2 linked regions of the Mus musculus genome follow. The protein of the gene in region 1 interacts with the protein of each later gene in a pairwise test. Links are inferred from orthologs where the notes say so. Each region holds a gene or a part of one and is shown on either strand. Other genes may lie near its edges.

Region 1 (4,561 bases):
TGGGATGGAGGAGACGGCAACGCCAGGGGTGAAAGGGAGGTTAAGGGGGATGTTAGGGTGACATGCTGGGGATGACGTCACCATTACTCTGTTTTTCCGTGCGGTCAGGCATTCATGTTCAGAACTCTCACAACTACAGTTTTAAAATCTGGGCCCAATTGAGGGGCGGTGGGAGGAGATAGTACAACTCTCTAAGAGTTTCTGGCCAAGTTCCTCGTAGTTCCTCTGGGCTTAGCTTTCTTTCTTTTTATTTTAAAGATTTATTTATTTATTTCATGTATGTGGGTACACTGTCACTGTCTTCAGACACACCAGAAGAGGGCATTGGGTTCCCATTACAGATGGTTGTGAGCCATCATGTAGTTCCTGGGGTTTGAACTCAGGACCTCTGGAAGAGCAGTCAGTGCTTTTTTTTTTTTTTTTTTTTTTTTCCCCAAATGAGACAGGGCTTCTCTGTATAACTCTGGCTGTCCTGGAACTCACTCTGTAGATTGGGCTGGCTCGAACTCAGAAATCTGGCTGCCTTTACCTTCCAAGTGCTGGGATTAAAGGTGTGCGCCACCACTGCCCAGCAGGTCTCATTTTAACAGCACAGTTCTAGGTTGAAATCTTCAAGACAATCCTGAGGTAAAGTGGCACAGGATCAAACCCCAGACAGAGCACAGTGGTTTAGAAGGGCTGTCCCAAGGTTGCCCAGCTGGTAGCTGCACTGAGTCATGGCTTTATTATCGGCACAGGGGAACGGGCAGGAAACAGGTTTTTGTTTTGTTTAGTTTTCTAAGTGAAAATAACTCCTGTAATCCCGGTTTGTAGGATTGCTCACTGCGAACATGCAGAAGGGGACAGCCTGGAAAGGAACACTGACGACAGACCAGGTGCAGAGAACCATTAGTGGCATTTCTGGCAACAAATGCACATCGATGCTGCATAGCTCCTATTGCATGATACGTAAGCATGTCACATATAATCTCTATCACAGTGACAGTGTCCCCACGACCAGCTTGTCCATAAGGAAGTCAGGCAACTTTCCAGACAATGCCACTGAACGAGCCCGGAACGTCTGAGACCGATGCCAGGTAGAGTAGGTAGGACGGGTTTGGGAGCGTACAGCCCATTTGAGCCGCTGACACTACAAGTCCCAGCAGCCCTCAGGGCAGGGAAGGCATGGGGCAGCCAGAATCCGGATGGACTACAAATCCCAGCAGGCAAATCATGGCCGCAGAGACTACCAGTCCCAGGACGCATCGTGCCACACACAGCGCACACTGGGATTTGTAGTCGTCAGGGCAGCGTTAGTGTGTTCACACCCATCAAAGAGGACGTACATTCCTCAGATTGAACACTGGAGGATTTACTGCTTTAGCAAGTAACATGGACGTGAGATGGGGAAGTAAGGGCCCAGCGAGTCAACTCTCGGAGCAGGGGAGGACAACTGCGCATGCTCGTTGGAGTCCGTCGGCGAAAGCGCGCGCCAGAGGCGCCCAGAGCAGGCCCCGCCCCCTTCCCGACCGGCCCCGCCCTTGAGCCGGGAGCCCAGGGAGCCTGCGCTGAGGGCGGGGCGCAGGCCGTGGGGAGGCGCTCGCGGCGCCTGCGCAGAGCGGCTGCTTCTCTCGCGAGGACGGACGCCATTATCGCAGCTCCCCGACAAACACCACGAGAATTCCGCAGCCCACACGGTAATTGCAGCTCCCGCAGCCGGTCGCGCCTCCACTCCCCCTTCCCGCGGGGCGAGAGCGAGAGCGAGAGCGAGATCTCCGGCCGCCCCCGCCCCGCCCCGCCGCCAACCGTCGCCAACGGCCACGGGGCCGCACGCCGGGCTGGGCGGGGGCCGGCGGGCCGCGGGATGTCCGCGCGTCGCCTCCGCGCCTCCACCCGCCGGGGCTGCGGGACCCGGGAAGCGAGCGAGCGAGCGGGCGAGCGGCCGAGGCCCGGCGGCCGTGCTCGCGTGCGTTCGGCTCCGGGGCCTCGGCGCCTCCCGGGCCCGCGCCCGGCGCTCCTGTCACGGGCTCGGCGCGCGGGCGCTGTGGCCCTGGCTCGGCCGCCCAAGTCTCTCAGGACTGAGCCTCGCGCGCTGCGCCCGGGCCCCGCGCGCCGCCCCGCCGCCTAGGTGGCCCCATCTCCCGGCCGTTGTTGGCGCTATGCCCCGGTAACCGGGTGACTTCGCCCTGGTTGGCGCGTCCGCCCGCCTCTGCTCTGCTCTCTGTTGACATCGGGGCCGAGACTGGTGCTCGCTTCCCCACCTAGCGTCACGTCCCCGTCCCGCACAGCCTGGCTCTTTTTTTTCCTTGTTACTTGTGGTGGCCTTTGTTTCTCTGCTCCTGGTGACATTGTAACTTCTCGGAGATAGTGTGGAACCTCCGGCTTCCCTCTACCTCCTCTCTGCCTTTCTTCTAATCTGGGTTGGGGACGCTTTAGGCGGGTGCAGGTAGGTCCCGAGGTCTTTCTTTCGCTGCACGCCTGGTCAGCTCAGGACGCAGTGTTTCAGTCAGCTTTCTTCTTGAGTCCCCAGGGAGCCTCTGCCAAGGACTTCCTTTCTGGTAACTGTTTCCTCCCTGGACCGGCCTAAGGTCTTCTTGGCATTGGAACAGGTCTGCCCTTCGCAGGTATGCTCGGTAGGCGTGTCCTCGAGCGCTGGGAGATTGTCCCAAGAGCCTTTCTTAAAGTCGTTAGAGAGTTTGTCGCCCTCCCCCCCACCCCCGCCCCATTTGGGCACACTACTTGAGTTTCTTTATCTTTCTATTCCTTTTTGATTTTCATTCCAGGAAAGAACTTCAGTTTATCTTTCACCCCAGTGGCGCAGGACTTTTAATTCCAAGCACTTAGGAGACAGAGGCAGGTGGATCTTTGCCAGTTTGAGGCAACCTCGTTTACATAGTGTTTACATAGGCAACCTCCCCTATCTCGGGGAGGGGGCCGGCGAATCCACCATCAGAATTGTAGTTTCTGAGCAGGGCATAGAGAGGTACACACCTCTAGCCCCAGCACTTGGGAGGCAGAGGCAGGCGGATCTCTTAAGTCTGACACCATCCTGCTCTACAGAGTGAGTTCTAGGACAGCCAGAACTACACAGAGAAACCTTGTCTTGAAAAACGAAACAAACAAAAAAAAATTTCTGAATGTATTTGTTCTTTTCCTTTTGTTCAGTAGTTTGTTTCATGAATATGTTTTCTCTTTCAGGCTGAGAAAACTATTAGGGGTTCTTTTCAGTTCTCTTATCTGACTTCTTGTTTATCACTTTTGGGGGGTGGGTGGTAAATGTTAGCTTCTTGCTTTGGATGGCAGGTCCTCCAATAGTGCTAATTATTATTGCTTAAACCTTAGACTTTAAGGTAAGAGGAAACTGGCAGGGGGCCCTGGGTCTGTGGAGAGGGGTTTAAAAATGGTTTTCCCCACTAGTGTCTGGGAGAGGTTGTTACCTCAAGACTTGGAGGACCACATAACAGACACCTTATATCTGGGCTGTTTATGCATCTTCCAGGGTCTGTCTCCCTTTGCTTGGAAGCTGTTTTGCTTGTCAGGGGTGGCTGTGGAGACTGCTGAGGGCCAGGTGGGGCCTGGAGCCCCACTCCTGTGTCCTGCAAGCTATCTAGATCCTCTGTCAGAAGTTTAAGTCTTTGGCTGTGCTCTATTTTCTTGTGAGCTGATTGTACTGTAGTAAGTATTTTAGTGGGGTAAGTGGAGATTGTTTACAAGGCCACTCATCTTGAACAGGAATTTCAAAGCCTGTTGTCTTCATTCAGACAATTTGTCTCCTTCCATTTTTTGCTCTTTGTGACGGATGTGTGCCAGAACATGGTGTCTGGCTGCCTCCAGTTGACTGGGTGGTCCTTTGGTAGGGTACCGGGATGCAGAGGACTGGTCCCACACTGAGATTAGGATGCAGAGGACTGGTCCCACACTGAGATTAGGCACTTGATTTGACTTGTCTGGTGAGCTCTGAGTTTAGCCTCTTCACTTTGTTGCTGGGCTAGTGCAAGTAGCTAGCATATTATGCATGGTTCATTGATCCCGAGGTGCGCAGTGCAGTGTTTGCCGCGCCCATAGCACAGGGATAGCGAGGCGCTGTTTTGGGCTGGCACCCTTGCCCAGGGCCTTGCAGCAGAGTCCACAGCAACCCACACTTCATGAGCATTCTGAGGTCCACCTGCAGAGTTAGTCTGTGGTTAAGAATTTCAGAGAAACTGAATGAGCTTCCTCTTCCCCTTCATTTTCTCTCTTGGCTAACAGGAAGGTTACCTAGATTATAAAGACCATACACACGTTTCAATGTCCCACTGACATCTTTTGTTTGTTTTGTTTCAGGATGTAATTCAAGACTCCATACTCTAGTTGTCATATCTCCTCCAGTCTGCTATTTTCGTTATCCCAAAGTATCCAGTGTTTATAAGTTTTGGCAGGAAAAACGTGCAGTTTCTGGAAAAAGCCCAGCAGATACTGTAGTGTTTGTTGGATTGAGGCTATGTGGTCAATAGAGACACTGATATCAAATACCCCAGGAGATAGACTAAGAACATCAGCTTTCTGCTAGACATGCAGTGTATTCACGAGAACACGTCAGATG
Region 2 (2,708 bases), on another chromosome or scaffold:
CTAGCCCCACCCCTTCAGGCCTCAGCACCTGGCAGCGCTGTGGACTACCCACTGACTGACCTGGCACTCGACACCAATTACACAGCCACCGTGCGTGGTCTCCGGGGTCCTAACTTCACCTCCCCAGCCAGCATAACCTTCACCACAGGTATAGCCACGGCTGCGTGTGGGTCACAGGAGATTGAGGAGAATAGACATGGGCCTCATTTTTGTCTCTTTCCATCCTTCTCCTTCCAGGGTTAAAGCCCCCCCAGGACTTGGAGGCCAAGGAAGTGACTCCTCGCACGGCCCTGCTCACTTGGACTGAGCCTGAAGTCCCACCCACAGGCTACCTGCTCAGCTTTGACACCCCTGGAGGACAGATTCAGGTACCCCACTTCACTGGCCATCAGCATTCCACGCGGCTTGATTTGGAGGTGCCTCCTCTAGCTCTCCTAGAGAGTCTCCATCTGGCCCTCCACTGACATGTCTGTCCCTCGTCTGTCTCCAGGAAATCCTGCTTCCAGCAGGAACCACCTCGCACAGGCTTCTGCGCCTCTTCCCCTCCACCTTCTACAGTGCCCAGCTGCGGGCCATCTGGGGCGAGAGCCTTACACCTCCCGTGCTCACTTCCTTTACTACTGGTACTGGCTCTGGGGTTTGAGCTTCGCGGGGGTTGGGGGGCTCTGGGATCTGAGGTTTGGGGAGGAGAACAGACAGACTCTCCACCTCCTCTCCGCAGGTGGGCTGCGGATCCCCTTCCCCCGGGACTGTGGGGAGGAGCTGAAGAATGGGCCCAGTGCCTCAAAGACCACCACCATCTTCCTCAATGGCAACCGTGAGCGGCCTTTGGATGTGTTCTGTGACATGGAGACTGATGGAGGTGGTTGGCTGGTGGGTTCCATTCAGAGCCCGGCTCCCTGCTTATCACTGTGTAGCACAGGAGACGATGCAGGGGAACCACAGGCTGACTTTGGCCTTGATTGCTTTCCAGGTGTTCCAGCGCCGCATGGATGGACAGACGGACTTCTGGAGAGACTGGGAGGAGTACGCCCATGGTTTTGGGAACATTTCCGGGGAATTCTGGCTGGGTCCGTGCTTCATAGGGCTGGGGAGCCAGGGAAGGGATGGCAGTCCAGTGAACCCCAGTACCCTGATGAAGCATGCTCCACCCCAGGCAACGAGGCCCTGCACAGCCTAACACAGGCTGGAGACTATTCTCTGCGTGTGGACCTGCGGGCCGGAAAGGAAGCCGTGTTCGCCCAGTATGACTTCTTCCGTGTAGACTCAGCAAAGGAGAACTACCGCCTACACCTTGAGGGCTACCATGGGACTGCAGGTAAGTGTGGGCACAGATGATGTGGGGGCGGGTGGGCACGAGGCGGGGTGATCCTCACTATGTCTTCGCATGCCCTGCCAGGCGACTCTATGAGCTACCACAGTGGCAGTGTCTTTTCTGCCCGTGATCGAGACCCCAACAACTTGCTCATCTCTTGCGCTGTCTCTTATCGTGGGGCTTGGTGGTACAGGAACTGTCACTACGCCAACCTCAATGGGCTCTATGGGAGCACAGTGGATCACCAGGTGGGGGCCGTGGGGACCACAGGACTCCACGTTGGGATCTGGGTGACCCGGGCTGAAGTCCTCTCACATGAAGGGCTGAACTCGTGCCTCAGAGGCTCAACTGTGAAATGAGACACTCATGCCAACCTTGCTGAGGAAACTTGAAGAGACCATTTATTACTGGGCAGAAGGCACCAGCTCAGGGATCATGGGGGAGATGGCTGGACCCTGGGAGTCACCTACAGGAGCAGGGTGGGGCTGGATTAGGTGGCATTGATATGGCACTGTCTTGACTCTCTTCCCTTGACAACCCTCTCCTCAGGGAGTGAGCTGGTACCACTGGAAGGGCTTCGAGTTCTCTGTGCCCTTCACGGAAATGAAGCTGCGACCCAGAAACTTCCAGGTCCCCACCAGGGGCACCTGAGCCTGCTGCCCACCTCACTCACACCCCGGTATGACTGCCGAGCACTGAGGGGTTGTGCCCAGAGAAGAGCCAGCATGCCACACCAAGGAGGCCTTCTCTGCCACAATCTCACAGCACCATGTTTACAGGGGGGGAGGGGAGGGGAAATGGAGCAATAAAGGAGAAACTGAGGCACTAGGCTCATCCTATCCTGTCAAGGTTTTCTCACCCAGTTCTTGGGCTGCCAGGTTTCTGGGCTGCAGCCGCACCTGGAAAGGAGGAATCAGGAGATTGATGCCAGCATAAAGCTGGGGCTGCAGGGAGGGCAGGGTTCCATCTGGTGGAGGCAGCAGAGTGAAGGCCTGCAGCAGACGAGCCAGCACCACAAAGAGCTCCAGCCGTGCCAGAGGCTCTCCCAGGCACACGCGTGCCCCACAGCCAAAGGATGGTGTTCTGGGATTCTTGCCAGGTTCCAGGAAGCGATCTGTGGGTAGTAGATGGAGAGCTAGAGAAGTTTGTCCCAGCAGAGGCCGGCCCTCTCCCGCTCCCTTTCCTGTCTGCCTCATACCTGGCCAGAACTTGCTGGGCAGTTCCCAAACCATCTCATCCAGGTTGGCGCCTTGGATGTTGGGGATGATGACCATATCCTTGGGGATGTTATAGCCAGAGATGCTGAGGGAAAGGTGGAGTCAGGAGCTGTCGAGGTCTTCCTCCCTCAACCCTTACCCCCAGGGAATCACCTGCTAGCCTTAGTTGCACGATG

What was found. The genes of interacting proteins can lie anywhere in the genome.
Region 2: the proteins of Banp (region 1) and Tnxb interact in binary tests that used the Homo sapiens proteins (3 or more experiments, as listed by UniProt). The two-hybrid records come from large-scale screens. The link is inferred for Mus musculus from reciprocal best matches to the Homo sapiens genes BANP and TNXB.

The regions. Positions count from the first base shown.
Region 1 is NC_000074.6:121,948,973-121,953,533, forward strand, and holds the start of Banp (protein BANP), read left to right. Parts: upstream 1-1,519; 5' UTR 1,520-1,676; intron 1,677-4,561. UniProt on the Homo sapiens protein: Controls V(D)J recombination during T-cell development by repressing T-cell receptor (TCR) beta enhancer function. Binds to scaffold/matrix attachment region beta (S/MARbeta), an ATC-rich DNA sequence located upstream of the TCR beta enhancer.
Region 2 is NC_000083.6:34,717,662-34,720,369, forward strand, and holds the end of Tnxb (tenascin-X precursor), read left to right. Parts: intron 1-4; coding exon 5-148; intron 149-237; coding exon 238-368; intron 369-490; coding exon 491-623; intron 624-721; coding exon 722-873; intron 874-973; coding exon 974-1,070; intron 1,071-1,156; coding exon 1,157-1,318; intron 1,319-1,399; coding exon 1,400-1,563; intron 1,564-1,769; exon of another isoform or gene 1,770-1,864; coding exon 1,865-1,966; 3' UTR 1,967-2,154; downstream 2,155-2,708. UniProt on the Homo sapiens protein: Appears to mediate interactions between cells and the extracellular matrix. Substrate-adhesion molecule that appears to inhibit cell migration. Accelerates collagen fibril formation. May play a role in supporting the growth of epithelial tumors.